Linked DNA regions of Arabidopsis thaliana. The protein of the gene in region 1 interacts with the protein of each later gene in a pairwise test. Each region holds a gene or a part of one and is shown on either strand. Other genes may lie near its edges.

The links.
Region 2: the proteins of MEMB12 (region 1) and AT1G65690 interact in a protein complementation assay, tested with the Arabidopsis thaliana proteins (one large-scale study listed by BioGRID).
Region 3: the proteins of MEMB12 (region 1) and TBL18 interact in a protein complementation assay, tested with the Arabidopsis thaliana proteins (one large-scale study listed by BioGRID).
Region 4: the proteins of MEMB12 (region 1) and AT2G16030 interact in a protein complementation assay, tested with the Arabidopsis thaliana proteins (one large-scale study listed by BioGRID).

Annotation. Positions count from the first base shown.
Region 1 is NC_003076.8:20,536,039-20,541,579, reverse strand, and holds MEMB12 (membrin 12), read left to right. Parts: upstream 1-2,583; 5' UTR 2,584-2,724; intron 2,725-3,020; exon of another isoform or gene 3,021-3,049; 5' UTR 3,050-3,127; coding exon 3,128-3,354; intron 3,355-3,429; coding exon 3,430-3,700; intron 3,701-3,774; coding exon 3,775-3,936; 3' UTR 3,937-4,154; downstream 4,155-5,541. Other genes in the region: AT5G50443 (uncharacterized protein), read right to left, coding at 696-741, 838-1,043; UBC33 (ubiquitin-conjugating enzyme 33), read left to right, coding at 5,273-5,329, 5,534-5,541. UniProt on the Arabidopsis thaliana protein: Involved in transport of proteins from the cis/medial-Golgi to the trans-Golgi network.
Region 2 is NC_003070.9:24,429,855-24,435,564, forward strand, and holds AT1G65690 (Late embryogenesis abundant (LEA) hydroxyproline-rich glycoprotein family), read right to left. Parts: upstream 3,312-5,710; 5' UTR 3,045-3,311; coding exon 2,582-3,044; intron 2,084-2,581; coding exon 1,788-2,083; 3' UTR 1,563-1,787; downstream 1-1,562. Other genes in the region: EXPB6 (beta expansin 6), read left to right, coding at 90-283, 492-816; LSM8 (Small nuclear ribonucleoprotein family protein), read right to left, coding at 4,609-4,699, 4,791-4,843, 4,923-4,974, 5,256-5,332, 5,676-5,710. UniProt on the Arabidopsis thaliana protein: Plays an important role in the abiotic stresses-induced abscisic acid (ABA) signaling and biosynthesis. Acts as a positive regulator of ABA-mediated seed germination inhibition. Functions downstream of ABF2/AREB1, ABF4/AREB2 and ABF3.
Region 3 is NC_003075.7:12,966,122-12,973,144, reverse strand, and holds TBL18 (TRICHOME BIREFRINGENCE-LIKE 18), read right to left. Parts: upstream 3,587-7,023; 5' UTR 3,394-3,586; exon of another isoform or gene 3,157-3,393; 5' UTR 2,959-3,156; coding exon 2,439-2,958; intron 1,932-2,438; coding exon 1,657-1,931; intron 1,548-1,656; coding exon 741-1,547; 3' UTR 501-740; downstream 1-500. Other genes in the region: AT4G25370 (Double Clp-N motif protein), read right to left, coding at 42-77, 181-398; SHB1 (EXS (ERD1/XPR1/SYG1) family protein), read left to right, coding at 6,697-7,023. UniProt on the Arabidopsis thaliana protein: May act as a bridging protein that binds pectin and other cell wall polysaccharides. Probably involved in maintaining esterification of pectins. May be involved in the specific O-acetylation of cell wall polymers.
Region 4 is NC_003071.7:6,972,195-6,977,379, forward strand, and holds AT2G16030 (S-adenosyl-L-methionine-dependent methyltransferases superfamily protein), read right to left. Parts: upstream 2,814-5,185; 5' UTR 2,698-2,813; coding exon 2,002-2,697; 3' UTR 1,479-2,001; downstream 1-1,478. Other genes in the region: AT2G16018 (uncharacterized protein), read right to left, coding at 385-426, 923-1,324; AT2G16019 (uncharacterized protein), read left to right, coding at 978-1,088; AT2G16020 (uncharacterized protein), read left to right, coding at 1,162-1,392; AT2G16040 (hAT dimerization domain-containing protein / transposase-like protein), read left to right, coding at 3,823-4,129, 4,559-5,185.

The DNA.
Region 1 (5,541 bases):
AAATATCCATTTTAGGCGATTTTAGAAGTAGTGGCTCATGAAAGTTTGTATACAGATATGGTTATATTAGTTTATCTCCAATGATCTTATTGAACAAAGGAAGTCATTCTTCTCTCATACTAGTAAGTCAGTAACTTACAACTCTAATGTTCCACGGCATCTATTTACTCGGTAACTAATTTAGTTTGATCCTTCAAGAAATTTCTCAAGTTTTCTTGTGCATGTTTCTTTTTACATCGAGGGCATTTTGTGAGAGGTGATATATATGTTATTAACTTCATTCATTTGAAACCCTACAATACCATTTCTTTGTTGTTGTTATGACAACAGAATCTGATCAGTTGAAATCAAGACGAGCAGATACATGATGAAAATCGAACAAAACAGAGGAAGAACAAATGCGGTGAAACAACAGATACAAAGTCAAGTAATAAATACAAATATAAGCTTCAAGATGTTGCAAAATCTACAAAATCCAATAAACACTCCTTAGAGGTCTAAACAAAGAGCCTTGACTCAATAGAACAGTATCAGAGTAAGACTTTCCAGTAAGAAAAGAAAAAAACATTCTAAGAATAGTAACAGTATCAAACTCTACATTGCTGCATTCACAAACAAGTGTAGGCAATACTATTCTACAACAAAAAAAAAATACAAAAAATCAGAAGATCTAAATAAAAAACTAGAGATGAAATCTATGGTTCATGTGATGTGATCTGATGTTTCCTACTTGGACCTCTCCTGGTACAAAAATACACAATCTTGATGTCAAAATCTCAAATAATTTAGTTTTTTTTGTGTGTGAAAAGATTGGAAAATATTTGATCGTGTACTTACTTGTTCTGTATGGGGCTATAGCGACTCCTCGGGATTTTCCGTAAGCTATCTCCTTCACCTCCAAGAGACTTCTGCTTCATCTCTTTGCTTATTTGCAAATCTCTCAAATCTCTATGTCCCTCTATGTGAAACTTGCTGCTAAAGAAAGCTAACAAAACCAGAAACAGAGCTATTGAGATCGATCTTGATGGATGGAATCTCTTCATTTGTGAATTCTCTTTTAGGTCTTGAGAAAACTTTTAGGTAGAAATATGATGAGTTAAAGTCTTAAAGAGAAGGAGATAGAGAAAGACAACTTGTAAAGCTTGTTGGCTTTGTAAGATATGTATGTATTGTCCTGCGACTTTTTTTGAGATCTGATCACGTGAATTAATTTTTCTTCTCCGAATCATTTATTTCAGATGCTGAGATATTTTTTTTATCTTAATCAACTAATTTATGGAACATTCACTGATGTTGAGAGTGTCCTCACTTTCATACAAGCACATGTATACACGTTTATTTATGTGTTTACCAATATTAGTAAATCCAACTTCATGAGATCTCAAAAGTTGCAGGTAAAACATTAACAGGCTGTGTTTTGTCTCTATGCTAATTGCTAAGGCATCAACATTATTTTCATTCATTTTTATTTTTGTTTTCCTAACAAGCTTTATAGGGACGACTGGACGAGCGAGAAGAAGACAGTCAAATATTTGGGACTTGAGTCACTTGCATGGGAAAATTGCAAAACAAAATTTTCATATATTTGAGAGTTTGAGTTTTACGTACTAGAGAAAGTTTTATAAAATTTAAGATCTTCTTCTAATCAAACATATTTTTAACAATGTAAACTAATACAAATTTTCAATAATTATTTGCATTAAAATCGGAAACTAATAAATAATAAAAAGAATATATCTTTGTCAAATTGTTTTAGGTGAAGCTACTACTACTATACCTTGGAACTTTTTCATTAGCATGGGCTGCGTTTCTTTTACAACTGGCACAATTTTGAAAAAGTGAAACTTATATATATATATATATATATATATATATATACTTTTTTTTTTATATCCACTTTTTATGAGAACGTTATGATGTAAACAAAAGAACTTTAAAATATACACACCTAAAAATCGTATTTAAGCTAAATCTTGCTGGAGTAATAACTATGTTAATCAAACCATTATATGGACAGCTTGTTTGATCAATCTTTGACCATGATAGTGTCAATCCCCCAATGATCCCGTAGAGGCTAATTAGCAATTCCTTAATTTTTTATCGTTCGGATTTATTTATTTTTGTTCAAATTACCGGTCGAATTGTTTTTCTTTTCTGAGCTCATATTTAGTGTTTTTAGTGTTTTTGAACTCAAATTACCGGCCGGATTTTTTAGTGTTTTTAGAATTAGCTCATAAATCTGAACTCATATTTAGTGTTTTTCTTTTCTTTTAAATTCAAAAGACATTTTATTTTATGAGAATACTAAAAACCATACAATGTACATATGATATCCCTTTTTTTTTATAAAGGAAAATAACCATGAAAAAATAGAAAATACAAAAGATGGTTTTATGGGAGATTTGCCATTTATGAAAAGGGAGAAACCATTGTGATTACTAGAAACAAAAAAAATATCGTGATTTTTAGAACATTTTTTTTCTTTGATTAATTTGTTACATTTCTTGTGTTTGTTTACAAAACCGAATTGTAAACAGAACCAGCCAAGCGCGTCTGCTTAATTGGGATTTGTTCCCGGTTTAAGTAAACCAACTCCTTGCTATTCTTTTTTAATCCCTCGCAGAATTTCTCATCCGATTTTCACAAACTTTCCTCGGATCTGGTCACGAATTGCTTTGTGTAACAAATTCAAATTCCAAACCCAAGCAAGCCTCCATTGAACTGGTACACGGATAAATTTTTTCTAAAGCTTTTCTTAGATTTCTCTCAATGCGATTTTGTTGAATTTCTTGGTTTCAGTCGATCGAATCAAATGAATTGCCGATTAGATGTTTTCTTAACATAATTTCTAGGATTTTGATCGAATTGCTGGTTCGTGATCGAGTGATTTGTCTGGATTAGATTTTAAGTTTTATGCAAATCTTGTTGAAAGGTGCTTAACTTTTGATTCAAGTTTTACTTAAGAGCCAAATTATAGGTCAATGTCATGTAGATTACTATTAATTCTTGAGTAAACTGGTTTAAATATGTTTTTGTATATATGTTCCAGATTAGAAGTTGATATTGATATAATTCAGCAAAGAGAAGAAGATTCTGCGGTGTTCTTGGTCACTTTGTGGTTTGTATAATGGCGTCTGGGACAGTGGGAGGGTTGTCTGAGGTATATAGTAGTGCAAAAAGGATTCTACTAAGAGCTCGGAATGGAATCGAGAAGTTGGAGAGGTTCGACTCTGATCCTACCGACCTCGCCTCCTCCGTGAAACGAGACATTACCGAGGTTCAATCTCTTTGTTCCAATATGGACGGTCTCTGGCGTTCGATCCCTGTCAAATCCCAGCGTGATCTTTGGAGAAGGTGAGGAAGTTTAGATCATCAAAATAGCTGAAGTAGTGGTTAAACTCTTGAGCATTTGGATTTTTTTTGCTGTAGGAAGAGTGAACAAGTAGGAGAAGAGGCTGAGTATTTGAACCAAAGTCTAGAGAAGTACATGTGGAGGAATCAGAGGAAGATGTTGGAAGCTAAAGAGAGAGCGGATTTGTTAGGTAGAGGGAGTGGAGAAGGAGCTCACATTTTGCAAATATTTGATGAGGAGGCTCAAGGAATGAACTCTGTTAAGAATTCAAAGAGAATGCTTGAAGATTCGTTTCAAAGTGGAGTTGCTATTCTCTCTAAATATGCTGAACAAAGGGATCGTTTGAAGGTAACCAAACCCTAACTTAAGCTTTAAGTCAATGAAGAAAACAGTTTTTTAACATTGGGTTTTTGAATTCTCAGAGTGCGCAGAGGAAGGCTTTGGATGTTCTGAACACTGTTGGGCTCTCTAACTCTGTATTGAGGCTCATTGAGAGGCGTAATCGTGTTGATACCTGGATTAAATATGCGGGTATGATCGCAACGCTTGTCATATTGTATCTCTTCATAAGATGGACACGCTAGAACCAGAGAACTTTAATTACATTACCATAGATTGTATGGAGAGAGTTTTGTAACACGTTTTTTTGTTTTGTTTATACCTCTTACAAGACATTTTCAAAACACTAGTACACATATTCTCCATTTCATTTGCGTCTAGTATGCTCTCGATTTATGCCAACTTTTCTTCCCCAACTTTTGATGTGTTCCTCCTATATCCGAGAATGATGTATTGCTCGCAGTGTAAGAGAACTTGTTCAAAACTTCTCCGAGACTGCAATCGTTGTTTAACACAGAAGCTACTACATTTGTTTGGGTCATTGCTTCGGCGACTAACATGAGCTTCAAGACAGTTCATATTTAAAGTGATTCGAAACAGTTGACTTTAGCATCATTGTATTAATGGTCAATGTTTTTTTTTGACCAAAATAGTCAATTCCCCAAAGGTCTGATTATGACAAATACCGAACCGGGATAGGATAATTATAATTAAATACAGAACCGACTCAACTGGAATAATTTTGATCCGGTTAAAGGAAAACCAATCTCCTTTTGATATTTCGACACTCTCTCTTTCCTCTCTCCTTGTCTCTGTACCGCGTCGAAATATGAGAAACGAATGATTTGATCATCAATCAACGAGAAACACACACGGAGAAAGAGAATCTCAAATTAGCTCCAGCTCCTGATCGATTCCGATTTTCACAATTCTTTCCTTGGATCTGCTCTTACCTTGTCACGATTTCACTTCCCTGTGTTTTTGATTTATACTTGGTCATCCAATAACGAAACTTTGATCAAACTGGTACGCCGATTATTTTCTTTCTTTCTTCTGATTTTCTTAGATTTCATTAACTTGATTGACTCAAAATCAATAGGGATCTTTAGGGAATATTCTTTGATATGTTTTGGAATTTTATCTGATTGCAAAATATTTGTGTGTATGTTTGTTTTGTTTAATTGGAATTTTAAGTTTTTTTTTTTGTTTTCATCACAATTTCATGGGTTTAGGCAATTTTGTTGAACGGTGATCTTTTTTTGTGTGTGTGTATCAATTTGTCAATTTGTATTTAGAACAGATACTTTAAGAAGTGTTGCTTCTCTATATGTGACTTGAGATTGTAGTAATAGCTTAACTATACGGCAATGTCATGGAGTAGATTATACATGCTTGTTCATGTCAGTTTTCCAGATGTATGACTTAAGCAGGATGGTTTCTTTATCGAAGATGACCTTAATTTGGTTTATGTTACTGTCATTCATTTCATACTTAAAGGTTGGATTATATTTTCTACAGTTTACAATTCGTTGTTTTGGTTGACAGGAACTACAGTTTATTGGAACTCCCTGAAGCATTTAGATGGCAGAAAAAGCTTGTATAAAGCGTCTTCAAAAAGAATACAGAGCGCTTTGCAAGGTATTATTTTCTTCTTATTCTGTTCCCATCCTTGATTTGTCTGTCACTGGTATCATTCTACCCATTCGATTTTCATTTTTTTTTTTATCAAATGTGGTTTCTTTGCTCTATGCTAGTTTTCATGGTTTTTGGTCTAGGATAAGTTTTTTTCTTATGAATGTTACTTTGGAAGTATCTTTGACATGTTCTGTTCTGGATTGCTAGGAACCAGT
Region 2 (5,710 bases), on another chromosome or scaffold:
CATGCAAGATCTGAATGTATGTTATATGGTTACAACAAGATTTTACTTTCATCAACTATATAGTATATGTTAACATTTTTATTTATCAGATTCTATGCAATGGGCATCCAGCATGCTCGAGGAGACCAATAACGGTGACGATAACCGACGAATGCCCTGGTGGTCCTTGTGCCTCTGAACCAGCCCACTTTGATCTTAGCGGCAAAGCCATGGGTGCCTTAGCCAGACCTGGCCAAGGCGATCGACTTCGATCGGCTGGTGTTCTACGTGTTTACTACAGACGGTACTTATATACTTACATAATTTTTGTTTTAAAATTTTTCCTTTTAGTATGTATATCTAGGTTTTGAGTTGAATTTTTTTTTTTTGATAAATCAAAGAAATCAATGTTTTCATTTTTGTTATTATCTTTACAGAAATATTATTTAATTAAAATTCAACTATTTTCTATGATATACGAATCAAAATATTGACTATTGTTTTTTGATCAGCGTGGAATGTTTATATCGAAGAACTAACATAGCTTTCCGTATGGACCCTGGAGCAAATCCGTACTACATTTCATTTGTTGTCGAGTATGAAAACGGTGATGGAGATTTGGCCTATATAGAAATTCAACCAGCCGACGGAGAATTCATCCCCATGCAAGAAATGAGGTCTGCTGTATGGAAGATCAGCTCTGGCAGTCCTCTAACAGGACCATTCAACATCAGACTTACTTCTGCTGAATCTCATAAAGTAGTCCTAGCTTATAATGTTATTCCGGCGAATTGGAAACCTAATGAAACTTACCGTTCAGTTGTGAACTTTAAGTAGAGTTTTCTTTGTCAAATTTGAAATCCGACACATTTCATTGTTTTTCTCTAGTCAAACTACAATATACAAATCTTTTTTTTTTTGGCCAAATAATATACAAAGCTTATGATATAGTAACGAATAATAGAAAGATATATGACTTACCACCAATATGAGCGCATATATTATATTTTTTGCCATTCTCTAAATCTTTTTTCATCAAAAGAAAAATTATCGACATTATGCTCATTCTCTAGCCAGTGTTACAATACCTTTCAAAGGTAGCCTTCCTCCTGAAACTGGTTGTACAACTACAAAGACTTCGGTTTGGTATATAACTTGAACTAGGAATTTGTTTCTTTGTACTTTTGATTCAGGACCTTACTTCATGAGGATAGTTCTCAAATTGTTACAGAGGACTGTCACAAGTTAAGTACATGAATCTTCTTTGTGTAAGTTCTTTTAGCGTTTCTTTTCTACATGTCTCTCTCTTCTCGCAAAAATTCAGTTTGTTCTATATATCTATGTCTCTTTATTATCTCTTTCATGTTGCTTGGAATGTCTTACCATAAGGTTTATTTATTGAGTTTGGTCTTTGCTTTAGAATACCAGAAGTAATTGTTGGAACAAGTAAATCTAATGCAAATTTGAATTCATAACTAAGATCTTGGAGTTACCTCCAATTTAAGTTGTAAGTAGTTAAAACTGAATTTTGGAGTCTACCTTCAACCAATTGTTTGCTTAAAAGAAGGTAAGGTGGAGTGGTGGACATGCTCTGGTTTTAAAAACTTACAACTACTATACTTTGAATTCCACCTATGTACATAGTATTGTATACTTTAATATATTAATTTAAACCAACAGTTTATTATACAACAAAGGTCTGAGACACAATAATGTACTTTAGAGGAGAACTATATATGAGTATGTGACTATATCTGACAAAATTCCCTCTGTATATCTCGATATTAATTATATAAAAAAAAACGGATCTATAACCTAAGACGAAATTTGCAACTACTACTTTGAATCTTAATAACATTATTGGTAGCCAAGCTATCAACAAATACACCACATCTGACCAAGAATCTTACTTCGAAGAGCTTCAACTTCCCAAATTTGACCCGAACCGGTTGGTTTACTCTAATTCTCAATGGTATATTCCCGGTTCTTTGTTGTTGCTCTTCTAATGTCGTCCTTAAACCCGATGCATTTTGTGTTTGACCAGTCATTTCTACGTATATCACTGTCGTATTTTCATGTCCTTGGTAAAATTTTGGCAACGACCCTATTCAAAAAAATCACAAAAGTTCAATGAAGTTAAATCTATAAGAAGACCCGGTTTGAAATGGTGTAAACGAATTATAATCAAACAAGAAAACCAAACAACATAAATAAATATGTTTAGTTTTGGGGTTTTCAGTCCGGATAAACCGGTATGATCCAACTCTACCAAAAACGATTGATTTGAATGAATTAACTCTATTATATCCGAACTATTGAATATGAACCGAACAAAAACTATCTAAACCAAATTTTGTTTGAAACTAAAGATATACAGTATTTGACAATCCTAATCCAAAATGAAAGTAAACCCAAAGCCAACCAAAAAAATTTAGACATCCCTAATTTGAAAAGAGTTTTAAAGTCTTCCTTGTGTACGAACCAAACCAAAGGAAAAGAACAGAAATCAACCAAATAAACCGGTTTTGTAGTGAGATTTTGAAGCCTTCCTACGTTAAAAAACCAAAAGAAAGCAAACCGGAGTAAACCAAAAGTGACGTACCATTGCTTAGTTGATGTTCCATGTACCACACGGTAATCTTGCTCCCATCTTCATAATAAATTCCAATCTTCTCGTTCGGATTCTTAGCGGTTATAGTCACGTTAAAAGCCGTAGTCAAACTCGAGTCTTGGTTCAGTGCAAACCGGGTGAGCTGTAACCGGTCAATAGAGTAATCCGGTAGCTTCGGTTTAAAGACAAGGTATAGTATACCAATGGATGCGCCTACTGCAACGACAAGAAGCAAAAGAAAGCAGAACGTGTAGCAAAAGCATCTGCAACAACAACTTCTTCTCTTCTTTGGAGGAGCCAACGGCACGAACCGTTGTGGCCTTTGGTTCAAAGGGACTTTGGATGGGTCTCCATGTTCTGATCTAGAGGAACCACGAGGAACCAAAGGAGCTGTTGGACGCGCTGTTGCGGCTTCTGGATCTTGGACCGGATAGATTTTTTGGTGTTGAGACATTTTTGGAAAATCTTGATGACACCAAGAAGAAGAAGAAGCTTTGTTTGTAGATCTTATTTAGGGGTTTGGGAAATTAATATAAGTAGGGACCTTATGGAGTTTTTAAAGTCAAGAGGGAAGAACTTTTCAATGGAGAGACTTCTCTATATGAACCTATAGATTATGAAAAACAAGTACATTCGCTTCCATACAACACATCACACGTGTAATGTGAATTTGCGTGTCTGCTTAGGTAGCGGTCTTTTATGGAAATTGAGTTTGATGTGAACCCATCAAATAAAAAAAATAAAAATCATTAGTAGGTATCAAATTACTTGCAATATAGATGGAAAAATTAGGATGACTTTTTGGAAAATACATATATTGTAGTCCTATACATTATCAAACAACTAAAAGTTATATCCACTTAAGATATTTTCCAATTACTATTTGTTTCTTTTTATTTCCTATAATTTTTTCTATTTACTCTTTTGCTCTTTCATGTTTACTCTTCTTGATTTATTTATATTTCATATATAAATGGTACTTAATCTACAAAATAAAATTTCATATATTTACGCCTCGCATTGTCTTTGAGAAAATACAAGTTTTTAATATTTAGATCGCATATAGTTTGACTAATAGGTACATTATAAAGTCAAAATACATTTGATGAAGATCTACTTTACTTTTGTTGACCTAATCCCCTAAGACTTATGCAGCAGTGTTCTCATGCATTTCGTCATGAATTTTTTTTCTTTTACTTTTTTGTTAACATGCTTTATTTTATTATTTTTTTTGCAAATAAAATTCCATTCGAAATCCCTAGGCCCCAACGATGTTAATTTATTTGTAGTGTTTCTGTTTAATATTAATCGTTATCAACGAAAAATTTTTAGAACGCAATTCTTTTGTTCTTCATATTAATAACCAAAAATCAAAAGCTTCTGATAACACTTACTATGAAAAATTTCAAGAAATAAATCACTTAATATGAAGAATATTACATTGGAATCGTAAAAGAAGACCCAAGACTCCGATGAAATCAGAAGTGTTTGGTTTTGGCGAGTTATTACCAAAACCAACGACTTGTATGATGCGACTATGGGAGAATGACATATTAAGTTAATATCTATATTGTTGTCTTATAGAAAATGTATGATGCTTCTAAGTTTTAAATACGGCCATTTGTTGATGTTGATAGATTTGATGATGTATATAATCCTTCTAGATGAAATTGCAACGACATTATAATTTGTAAGATACCAGAAACTAATTCCTCTTTTTTTTTTCTTTTGCAATTTGAATATCTATAAAATTTTGGTTAACAATAAAAGTTTTTTTTCTAATCAAAGAATTTGTGGTCTAGTAGCAAACCTAGGTCCGTCCAAAAGATTGTATGATTTAAGTTTCCGACCAAAACGTTTAAGACATAAAATATCATATAGCTTTTGTCCTTAGGATACACAAATAAGACAACTCCAGACATCAAAACAAACTATCCAAATTGTTTACAATCAAATCTTCTCTTTGTTTTTAGGCTTTGAATGAGAGAATTAGATTTTCTCACCATAACTATATTCAATCAATGCACTACGGGTTTCAACGGATGGGCTCTCAGCTTCGAAAAATCCAGACTAGCATCAAGCTCCTCGTCCAGCTCCCCGATAACACCTCTGATCAAAGATGACACCATTTTTTTTATTGAAACAAAAAAACAATTGCAATGTTAGAAAATCACTGATGATGATGGATGATAAGAATTACATGTTGTCCCCTCTGATGATGTACAAACCCAACACATGTTGTTGTACTCCTTCCTGCAAAGATGAAGACATAGTAAGAGGTCTCAATCCTAATTCCAATATCCATCATTTTAACAGAACTCTGCCTTCACACCAAAAATATCCAAGAACATTTGTCTAATGAAGTATCAACATGACCTGACATACTCTTAGTGTAAACAAGAAAACAGACATGAATCAAACCTTTAACCCTCTTACGAAAAAAAGGAGGTGATCATGTATAATTAATTACACACTGCCAATATCTACGTATTTGACTTACCTATCACTAGCTAAATCTTTTGACATATGAACTCACAAGATTTTTTCAATCAGTTATAACACTCGAAGAATACTAACACTAAATCTGTTTCGGTGTATCCAACACTATCTGATTTAGATACTTCCATTCAGAGGCCAGTTAGTTCATGATTCACTATTCTCTTACCAAACAAAGAACTGTAGGACAAGGCCTATCTTAAATATCTGAGTAAGTTTCCTCAATATTCTGTTGAAAAGATGACACTACGCAACTAAATCAAGCAATGTACATTATTAGCAAGAACGTAGTACCAATTAAAAGATCAATACCAGACGACGAAAGATGCTTTGAGTGACAATGAACAAAAGATAAACTAGCATCCTTATAGTACCTCTATTTTTCTAGTTTTATGCGATCACTACAAACAAAATATGGAGACATCGAGAACTCTGCTACATCATAGCCACTCATGGATACAAACCAACAAGGTTTTGCAGGTCATACACTGGCCAATTTACTTGCAGAAAAATGTATTTGCACCCATTCAATTTAGTAACATCGAAAAGTTCAGATGAAAATACTTTAAAACAGGAATCAGAAGCTAACCTTTGTGGAAAACACACGTTCATGAGATTCATCAA
Region 3 (7,023 bases), on another chromosome or scaffold:
TACAATTACAAATTCTATACGTAATTTGGAGTGAGACTCACTTTGGGATCTTATCCGAAGAACCATTCTCCGGTTGCCTGAAAAATTCAACCTTAACACCCTAAGCTTCAATATCCGTGGTGAAAGGAAAAACCCAGAAATGATAAAGATGTAAAAGAGCTGTCAGATAAAAAAACTAACGCAATAGGGACGTTTAAGACCGTGCTGGCCGAGGTCAAGCACCGGAGCTTGGGGACGAAGCAGCGATGCGACGGTTGTGTCGCCAGAAGCTTCTTACCTAACAGAGAAGACGTTAGAGGAATCCGAGAAGAAGACGAGGGAGATCCATTCTGTCTCGAAACAAAGATCCGAGGATTAGAGAGCGTCAAAGGGATAAAGGAGACTGTGTACGACGCCATTTTCACTCTTGAGGAATCAAAAGCTTTTGGTCGGGCTTTGGGTGAGTCAGTGAGATAGGCGATTATTACTCAGCTATTTTGCAAATGCGCCCCCCCCAGTTTATATAATTTATGAAATTTCGACTAGTATGAATAAACTTGAACTCATAACTCCCAAATCTTAAATTTCAATCTCAGGACAAACGAACCAACAAGTATAGTGGAACAAATTCTAATCCTAACTCACCGTGCCTAGCACAAATCTACAAGTGAGTTTATCTTTGAGTTTATCAGTAACCAAGAATCAGATTAATAGTATAAGTCGTGTAATATGCTCTCTCATCCTTTGAGTTTCAAACCAAGTCAAGTTGATGAGCTTTTCCTGTCTCTCCTTATGAGCTCCAAGACCATTTCGTTCCATGTATCGACTGGTCCTGGCATGCACCAGTGCAAGCAGTCCTGAGGTGGAGGCCGTCCGTCTGGTCCCCGTTTAGTGATCTTGTTAGGGTCAGGACTTCTGAATGGACCAGGATGACCATCATGGCGATATCCAAATGCCTCTGTGATATCCATCAGCTTTAGTTTTAGCTTCAAATTCTCCGCGACTTTATCGACGGCTTGGTTATATCCTGTCGCTTGCTTCTCATGCATTATCTCTGTGAATCCGTTTTTCACTAGCTTCCCTGGAAGGATGGGTTCTTCTTTCCCCGTGCATGATCCACCTGTGTTCCAAGCACCACCTTCGTAATGATCAGGTGAGAATGTTCTCACAATGGTCAAACCGCTGTAGTTCGGGTGTGTAGCCATGGACTTAAGGATTGTTTCAACTGATATTCCAAATGCATCCACGTTATTGACTTTCATGGGTTTTGATTTGTCTGGCCACCATAATTGGCCTCCCACGATCTCTTCTTTCAATATGTAGACAGACTGCTTTGCAAACCAGTGCCCTGATGAGAGGACAACCACGTCGAATTTCGGGATAGCTTCCATTATGCGCTCATCAGGAAGATCCAGCTTTAGTTTTGTGACACCTTCAGGAGCATAATCGAATTTTTCGTTGAACTGATGAACAAGCCAAGATGACCAAATACGGGCAATCATTACTGATGATTGCTTAAAATACCATCTCTGCATCTTTCGGCTCCCACGATTGACTGGTGTTTCAACCTGAAAACAGAAACCTACTTTAATATAATACATACGATCTCCTGAAGCTGAATAAAGCAACACAATAGATCCCTTATACCGGTTTTCACCATTAAATTGAATTACTTGCCTGCCAAAGAAGGCACAACATGGACTCCATCTGATTACGAGCTACTGAATCTCCTATAAAGGCCAGTGTCTTGCCTTTCATAAGTTCAAGAAATTTTCTGGCATCAAACCGAGGAAGCTCACACTGAGACGGTTTCCATCTCCAGTTCTCATATCCCTTGTCAGGTCTTCCATTTCCCTGGCAATTCTGCATCTGCGTCAGGACAGGGCAAGAGTTGTTCGTGTAGAGAGGTCCCCCAGGATCATAAAACCAACTACCTTGATACAAATCACACTCTACAAGCAATCAAAGATTTGAGTAAGCGACAAACTCATAACAGAAATATAAAACATCGAACAGCTAGAATCATGAGAAGCAAGGGAAACTGACAAGAACAGATCTATGAAACTGCTCTTCTTATTCCAATTCACCAAAACAGGTAGAACTCTCAACCAAATGCCCACAAAGCCTAGAAACTCTAACCCCTAAAACAAAATGCTGAGACCACCTTACAAGCCCAGCACTCACTATCTGCTCCCTAACCAAGTTTTTACTCTAATCTGCTATATTCAGTCCTCGGCTAGAATAATTACAGTAGGTCTATAGCTAAGAGTTTAGCCGCTGAATTTCTTTAAAACTTCTCAGAAACTTACGCCTTTCCATAGAAATGCAAAACTAAATGTTCTATAACATTCCCACACTAGCTTAGTCTTTGTTTATTGAAATTTAAGCTACCATAACTCAAAATGTTCCAAATACGACAAAAGCTACGGAAATAAGCGTTTAAAAGATAACAACAGTACCTGGTTCTGCTGAAGCAGTTTCAGAGACATCATCTGGAGGAGATGATGCACTTGGAGTGTCTTCAGCCTTGGAAACATTGGTTTCACGTTCACCTGATTGAACATCAGTCTTTTCAGTTATATCCGAAGAAACCAAATCCTCTTTTTCTTGTGTCAAAGGTGTCTCCAACTTCCTATCACTACTGAAATCTGGAGGTGGTATACTTTTGCTAACAACAACAGGTAAGCCAGAGCTAGAATCAGAAGTCAGATTTTTATCAAACGCATTGATGTCACTACTCTTCTGAAGGATATTGACAGTATGGTTGCTCAAAGATAAAGGGACATGAACTTGTTCAGGATTCCCTATCCCATAAAATATGCCACCAACTGAAGAACTATTCGGATACGAAAGACGAAGCAACAATCCGAAAACAAAGAATGATGCCAAACCACCAATAGCAATTGCAACTGTAGACACTTTCCGAGGAAATCCAGCCGCAGCTAATATAGAATTATTCCTAGGAGAACCAAAAGCCATGGTTTCTTCACTAGTAGATACCCAGAACCAATACAAGCAACAAGAACCAGAGCTTATAGGTGATAATTCAATATCAACATTATTCAAAATGTTATCTTCAGGGGCATGCAATACGCAAGTGAACTAAGTGAATCTGTTACTTGATTCAATCTTCCACTGGATCACAGATAAGATTTCACCTTCTTCAGGATCTGGAATCTGGAAGAGCAACACTATGAGCAAACATACTTAAAGGCGAAAGAAGAAAACAAGATGATCGATCTAATAAATCATCAAATAGCACAAATCCAGAATATAAATGTGAATCTAACTCAGATTCAGCTCAAATCATTACGTATTCAGATTTTCAGAAAAAAAACAAACAATTTTTCAGAAGATTATCTTCTTCACTAAGCAGATCCAAACGAAGAAGAAGAAGAAAGAGAATCTACGAACCTAGAGAAAATGATCCTTGTTGTCTTCTTGTAGGTGAAGCGAGCTCAGAAGATTCAGAAGAAATCCACAACAGTGAAGACGCGAAATCAAAAAATTAAACAAAGGTTAGTTATAGTTTTATTAGTTAATTGTTTTCCGGAAATAATCAAACGAATTTAGTGGTAATTTATTCCTTAAATTAATCATTTGTTTCTTCTTCCGGAGCCCATTAATGCCGTCTGTGATCTCATCGGCGCGTATACGACCACGCGATGATGTAAAGTTACGAAACTACCCTTCGGTCAACACCACCATAACATTGCGTATATTTCGAATTTTGTAACATTGCTAATATTTCGAATTGTTTGTTTGTCACTTCGCGTTATATGACACAACGATTGTTGTTTTCACATAAAAAAAAAAACCCTACTAGTCATCATCTAATGTAACACTCCAGCATATGACAAAATCGCCGAAATATTATTTATTATTATATAGGTAAAATAGAATTACAATATGCTCTTCTATAGTATATAGTAATCTAAAAAGTTGCATCATAAAATAAATTATTAGAAAAAGATCGAAAATAGGTGATATATCATATCATCATTACAATAGGTGTGAGTCGTCCGTCGCCTCTGACTGGTCCTTCCTTTCGGGCACGATAGCAGGCATAAGCCACTATCAGTGCGATGATGATTAATACACCGACTGAAATTCCAGAAATTGCGATAAACTTCATTGGATCAGTCCCCATGTTTGTTTTACCACACGCACCCAGAAAAAAGTTTATTTCTACTGTTTTTATTTTTTGTCATGTCTTCTTGTGACACAGTATGTTTACATTTATTTACAATTATTTACATTTCTGTTAATAAAGTCCGTGAAATTTGTAAGTTTTACATTTTATTATTTAAGAAAATTAACAAGGATGAACTGGAAAATTACACTTTAAAGAATATTAATTAGGAAGAAATAGAAATTATACATTTTTATGGTACTTTGTTGATCTTCATACCATCAAACTGGAAATTGTACATTTTAATAGAAAATTAACTATGAAAGAATAGAAAATTTACATACGTGAGCATGTAGTAATTTAAGGCTATCACAAAAATTCGACATTTTATTTCAGAATATTCTAAAATTTTGATATTTAGGTAGCACATTATCAAATATTGTAAAATAAAATAATGGCCAGGCTTATACGATTTGAGATTTGATTCGTATCCATGAATGCCATACTCGATGAGTAGTTACTGTTGTGTGTGTATTATAGTTTTTGCTAGTTAATGTTGTTTTTACTCCTACCGCATAAAATGAAATAATGAATCATCTATATATACATTTTTGCAGCCATTTTGTGAAATAAATCTTAGAGTTGGGACTTATTTACTAGGCTGCCATTGAGTATTAATTATTGATTTTTTTCCAGCAATAAATTGATTAATAAACTAAAAATATTCCAAATATATTCAGCAACTATTTAAAACAAAAAATGTTTGACAAACAAAAATATAATTGCAATCCCTTAAAATGAGCAAAACCCACCTAAATATATTCTTTATCTATCCAATAAATCTTTTTTCTCCAAAATTTGAACTAGATTTTGGCAACTATTTTAAACAAATATTTGTTTGACAAACCAAAATACAATTGCAATCCCGTAAAATATTTCTTTTAATTATATATTTAAATTAGCGGTGTACCGCGGTTTTTTTTTACGGGGCGGATTTGGCGAGACGGGTTTGGTAAGACGTTATTTAATAACAATTGTAAACTATAAAATAAAAATAAATAGATTTAATTTGCAAACTTTTATATATACTAATTTAAAAAATAAGTTGTCCGCGGGTTAAAATCTAGTCATGGTTATTTTAATTAGGTGAAATCAGCCTTGGATAATTTTAAAAACTAAAACCAATTGTTTGTAAGTAAAGAATTAATAAATTAGTGTAATTTCTAAGTTTTCAAATTATTATATAAATAAAATAAATAAATATGTATTTATAAGCACAAAAAAAGGAAATGGTGCGTATTCCTGGTACAATAGTTACTTGTCAGATCCCCATTTAAAACATCTCAAATTGGTTGAAAAAAAGTCACCAAAGAAAAACTAGATTAGCATCAAATGTTTTTAAAACTTTTAATTCTTCCATAACTCTTTCTAAGAAATAATTTAAAGAGTTAAATCAAATAATTCAAAAGTCGGTTGCTATTTATTAGCGTTAAGTATACGTACTTGTTTTCTTATTTTTCTACGTACTTGTTTTCTTTATGGACAACCGATATGTAGTTTGTAAAATTTGTTTGCTAAAAATGAAAAAAATTGGTCCGTAGAATATACAATGCCCAAATGACTCGCTTCTGAGCTGATGCAATACCAGTTGATGATACATTGTGGTCACTACACAGTGTAGAAGATACCAATTTGTTTTGTCAACGAAATGTAGAAGATACGGGTTTTGCATTGAATAAAAGACATTACACATTAGGTGGCGACAAAACAGAGAAGCTCAAAAGATAAAAGTGTAGAAGATACCAGTTTTTTTTGTCAACCGATGTAGAAGATACGATTTACGCGTATAGAGCCACCACCAAGGCATTGACCAAAACCTAATCATCTCAAGTGGGAACGTACGTTGATATATGTCATATAATAATTTAATAAGCACATTGACATGACATGTATTGATTGACTACAGATTTAATAAGCACATTGACATTTCACATGTCACATGCAGGGTTGATTATAAAAATATCTAGGATCCTAATCCATACCGAAAACAGGCCATAAATTTTATTGAACTATAATCAAACTTCTAGTTATATCAATAATTTATTGGCAATGGAAAATTACTCGATAGATGTAACATGCGTTTTGCACAAAAACGATGTAACATGCGTTGCTAACGTTACTTTTGCTTTAATTTCATAGTTTTTAAATTTTAATTTACAACTTATAAACCTTAATTAAGAATGATATATAACAAAACGATATCTTATAACAATTTCATATTTTTGTTAGTAATTTTTTAAGAGTTTTGACTTTTGATTGTCTGTTTTTTTTTTTGGGTATTTTTTTTTTATTGTTTAAAATTGTGGACGAAAACGAATTCATATTTTTGTTGGCTAAGTTAAGACTCAAGACCTGGTCTACCTCTCTAGAAAAACTTTCAGCATCACTCAAAACCCAAAAGTCAAAAAGTCACATTCTTCTTTCCAACTTTTGTTCCAAAGACAGAGAGAGGCCAAGATTCATAATTTGAGATTCTGACTGTAGACTTCGAGCAAGAAAAAAAAAGATCTGAAGGTTGAAGAATCATGAGGTTTGGGAAAGAGTTTGTGTCTCAGATGATCCCAGAATGGCAAGAAGCTTATATAGATTACGCTTACCTCAAAACCATTCTTCAAGACATCCAAGCTTCCCGGAATAGGTCAGATTCCAATAACCAGAGCAGTACTCCTTCCTTCGCACGTAACCTAACCAGACGGTACAACCGCGACGCCTTGGTCTCTGAGAATCACGACATTGTGGTCAACACTGTGACACGGCTCGAAGAAGGGCTCGAGACGGCGGCTTACGAGACTACGTTTTTAAAGGCCGGAGAAGCAGGTGGCGACTTTGAGGTTACCTTTTTTAGAACCCTA
Region 4 (5,185 bases), on another chromosome or scaffold:
TTCTCAATTTTCGCACAAATCTATGTCTTTTTTTTTTTGGGCAAACTTATCTTATCATAAAAGAGAAAGAGTTTTAACCTCTACCAACAGAGGATACAACATAGCAACAACAAGTCGGAAAAGCTAAAGCATCGACAAACATAGAGATCAAACATAAGCGAAAGCTAGCAACAACAATGCTCAAAAAGAGACTTGGGGACAAGGGTGAACCCAAAGGTTCTAGCAAAGCAGCAACTAACCAAGAGCATCCAAAAAAGCAAACACCTTTAGCTTGGAAGACCTTGTCGAAACCACAATAAGGAGGAAACAAAGCCTCCAATGACACTAACGTCAAACAATCGGCAAAGGCTGAATGAGAACAGTCTTGAACAACAATCCTCGCTTCTACTTCAAGCAGATCAGTATTGCACACAATGCTCCCTGTAACTTTATCACTAAACACAAGTGAAGTATTTGAGAGGATAAAAAGCTCCATAAAGGAGAGATGAGGGCTATGAAATCCCCAATGAACCAGAAAAACTGGTAGGTTGTCTGAAATCAAAGCCCTCCGTCTAAGCTGCGAAGAGACAACTTTTAACAAAAACAAATCGAGATAGAATCCGCATACTGCAGTAAAAGATCGCATTAAAGCGATAGAGGTATTACAAGAGAGCACAAAAGTATCCAAAACATTCTGTCTAAGCTGCGATGAGACAACTTTTAACAAAGGCGAATTAAGACATCCACATATTGTGGTAAGTGATCGCATCAAAGCGATAGAGGTGCTACAAGAGAGCACAAAAGTATCCAAGCCAATCGAAACTAGATAAGCTACATATGAATTACACAAACCCAAATTCCACAAAACCAGAGCCACAAACTCTATCAACAACCAAACCCTTCCAATCTTAGAAGAAACATACGGCGAAGAGTAAGAGCAAACCTGAGGGAAATACTGAGGAAGAAAAGTGGTGTCGTCGGCGAGAAGGAAAACATCAATGAAAAAATCAGTGATCGAAGAGGTCGGTGACGGAGATTCAGATATGGCGGAGGAGATATGGAGAATGAGCGAGACCAAATCTGGGAGGGAAGAGGAGCTCAACGACTGAGCATAAGAATCAGCAAAAGTGAAGCAGATCTGAGAATCTGGTGGATCCGGTGGTTCCGGTGGAGTCGGCGGAGATGGAGGCTCTGGTGGTGGTGCACAAGGTGGCCTCAGAAGGAGGAAGGCGACCGAAGACGACGGTAAGCGACGAGAGTGGCTCGCATTCGAGAGAAAAAGGAAAGTCATTTCAAGTGAAAGACTCGCCGGAAAACAATTACGCCACCGGAAAAGTAGATTCATTGGAGAGATCTCACTTTAGTAGTAGCTACAATCAGGAACGCAGGCAGTCAGAGGAGCAACGCCGGTGAAGAGAACTAATCACGAACAAGGCTTGCGGCTACCTTGGTTATCTTGCTTGAGAGAAAATTTTTTTTTTTTTTTTTTTTTTTTTTTAGTAAGAGCCTTTTATTCACCAATAAGAATTTTGTTCTTTCTAAGTATACAAAATGACTAAAGAGTATTTTACTTAACTCACAAATAGTACACAGGAGAGCTCTAACAGATTGAAACGTGAACCTCACCTGGAAAGAAAGTACTTTCTTTCATCACACACTAAAGTCTTCAAAAGCTGTTGAAAGTTCTTTACTTGTTTCAAAAGCGACCAAGGTTCCTAAGAATTGTTTAGCTCAGAGACCAACTTCCAAAAAAAAAGATATTAACCTGTAGAAAGCTTTTGTTCTGGATCTTGAACTCGCAACAAACATCGCAGCTTCCCTCAACAAAACATTGCTTTAGGATCCAGAACAAATATGGTCATGGTCTTTGAACAATGTTACCACATAATCTGTTAAATCTCCTGCTTTTCAAACATGTAAGTGAATTTCAACAGAAACAAATCTAGCTCCACTCTATGAATATTGAAGCAGTTTTCTGAGAATCCGGAAAGGGCCTATAAATCAAAAGAGAAATAAAACACCTCAGGTAGGAGAGTCTTGAACTTTGAATAGTATACTAGTCTTTTTGGATCCTTCTAAGGTTACATTAGCAACATCAACGACCTTGGAGTTATGAAAAAGCCTAGCAATGTCTCTTACATCATCTCCACCACATTCATCAACCGAAACCACACAAAATCCGCCACGTCTCACCGTCCTCTCCATCTCCTCCACAAACTGCCACGGAAACAGAGCTTCAGCTAGATGTGCAGTGAAGGCAAAATCAAAGACACCGTCGAAAAACGGAAGGTTATGAGGATCAGCTCTTTTCACAAGAGGAATCGAATCAACCAATTCAACTGCGGTAACATCAGATAATCCGATCTGAGAAAGAGCCATCAGAGCATGGCCTGCTCCGGCGGAGAGACAGAGAGCTTTGGTGTGATTTTGAATGAATCCGAGATCGCGAAATCGGAGGAAGTAGGTAGAGAAGGAGTATAGACGAGATTTCCAAGCTCCAGAGGACCAGATTCGAGCGTTCTTCTTTGGGAGAGGAAGATGCTGACGAGGCGATGAATCGCATGTAGATCTCGGGAAATGCGTATGAGGTTTCGATGGAGCTTCTGGAGAAATACAAGTTTTTGGTGTCTGGAGAATCATAATTACCATTAATACTGTTCCGATGCTTAAGAACACTATTGATACTCTCTTCAGCATCTTCTCGACGTTTCTCTCCATCGTCGCCGATCAAAACTCCGATCAAAATATCTATGTTTATATAACATCAATAATAAAAACACAATCACCTAACAAACGCCGTTGATTGTTACCAAAACTCTAAATAATCTATTTTTGGAACGAAATTCAAATATTCATATAAGATTAGCGGATCGAATTTCTCTCTATTTCCTCAATTTTCCACAAATCTATGTCGATTTAGTATAATTAATCGAAACATGGTCAACTAACAAACGCTGCGAATTGTTATCAAAACTCGAATCCATCTATTTTTGGAATTAAAATTCAAATATTCCTCAAAAATTAGCAAATCAAATTTCTCTCAGTTCCTCAATTTTTACACAAATCTATGTCTATTTAGCATCAATAATTAAAACACAATCAACTAACAAACACCGCCGATTGTTACCAAAACTCGAATCCATCTATTTTTAAAAACAAAATTCAAATATTCCTCAAAAATTAGCGGATCGAATTTCTCTCTAATTCCTCATTTTGGCACAAATCTATGTATATTTAGCATCAATAATCGAAACACATTCAACTAACAAACGCTGCAGATCTAATCCATCTATTTTTAGAATCGAAATTCAAATCTTCCTCAAAAATTAGCGGATCAAATTTCTCTCTTGTTCCTCAATTTTCGCACAAATCTATGTCTATATAGCATCAATAATCAAAATACAATCAGCTAACAAATGCGCTGCTTTGTCACCAAAACTCGAATTCACTTATTTTTAGAATCAAAATTCAAATATTCCTCAAAAATCAGCGGATCGAATTTCTCTCTAATTATTCGATCAAGAAACAAATCCTACATTGTTAGCAAGTAGTGGGTATAATGACTGGAAAAATGCTGCGCAAAGGCTGAAAAGACATGAAACAACTCATCGTCATATTATTTCCATGACTCATTGGATGGAGCTAGAAGTGAGATTACAAAAGAGTAAAACAATTGATAACCATATGGAATAGGCAATTAAGAAGGAGAAAAAACATTGGAGAGATGTATTGGTGAGAATAATTGCAGTGGTAAAGACTCTAGCTAAACAAAATTTAGCATTTTGTGGAACTAAAGAGAATGTTGATGATCCAAATAGTGGAAATATTTTGGCATTTATTAGAATGATTGGAGGTTTTAATTCGGATATGAAGGAACACATTCGGCGGGCTAATAAAGGTGAAATTCATTGCCATTTTCCCAGTCATAAGAGTCAGAATGAATTGACAGAATTACTTGCTAATGATACCAAGATGATGATCTTAAAGAAGATTAAAGATGCGAAGTATTTTTCAGTCATTCTTGATTCCATTCCGGATGTTAGTCGTAAAGAACAAATGACCTTCTTAATTCGATGTGTGGATGTTTCAACGTGTTCACCTAAGATTGAGGAGTTCTTCTTGACGTTTCTACACATCAAAGATAAGAGGGGTGAGGGGCTTTTTAAGACTCTTCAAGATGCATTGATTGATCTTAAGTTGAATATTGATGATGTAAGATGACAAGCATACGACAACTGACAAAATATGAAGAGAAAACATAAAGGAGTTCAGAAAAGGTTGCTTGATATAAATCCAAGAGCATTTTACACTCCATGTGGATGCCATGGTCTTAACCTTGCACTTTGTGATATGGCTTCATCATCCAAGAAAGCTGTTTCTTTTTTTGGAATTGTTCAGCGAATACATTGTCTGTTTGAAGCTTCAACCAACAATTGGGAAGTGTTTAGAGAAACAGTGAATGGTATTACACTTAAACCGTTGTCTCAAACGCGTTGGGAAAGCCGCATTGATAGTCTTAAACCAATAAGATATTAAGCTTCAAAGATACAGATACAAGATGCACTTTTTTATTTGGCAGAATACACTGATAATCCAGGACACCGGAGTGATGTTGAGTCTCTTACAGAGAGTGAAACACATGGAATTGGAGGGTTTGAATTTTTATTTGGAATGATAATTTGGTACGATTTGCTAGCTGCTGTGAATATAGTAAGCAAATCCTTACAGTTTGAGGATATGGATCTTGAGGTTGCTATTTCTCAGTTAGGAGGGCTTGTTACTTATTTGAAAAACTACAAAGAAACAGGTTTCGAGAAAGCCAAAGTTGAATCTACACAAATTGCCATTGAGATGAAGATTGCGCCGGTATTTCCAAAAAAGTCGGTGAAAAAAAAAAAGCAATTTGTTGAGGATGTTGAGAAGATTGATGAAAGTAAGATTGCAGAGGAGAGTTTTAGAATTGATTACTTCATCAATATAATGGATCAAGCTATAATGTGTATTGAGATAAGATTCGAGCAATTCCAAGTATATGAACAAATATTTGGATTTTTGTTTGGTGTAAAGAGATTGAAGGTAGCAGAAGATGATGAGTTAAGGACATCGTGTATGAAGCTTGAAGCTTCTTTGAAGCATGATGTGCATTCAGATGTTGATGGAGAAGATCTGTTTATGGAGCTGAAACTTTTAAAAGATGTGTTGCCAA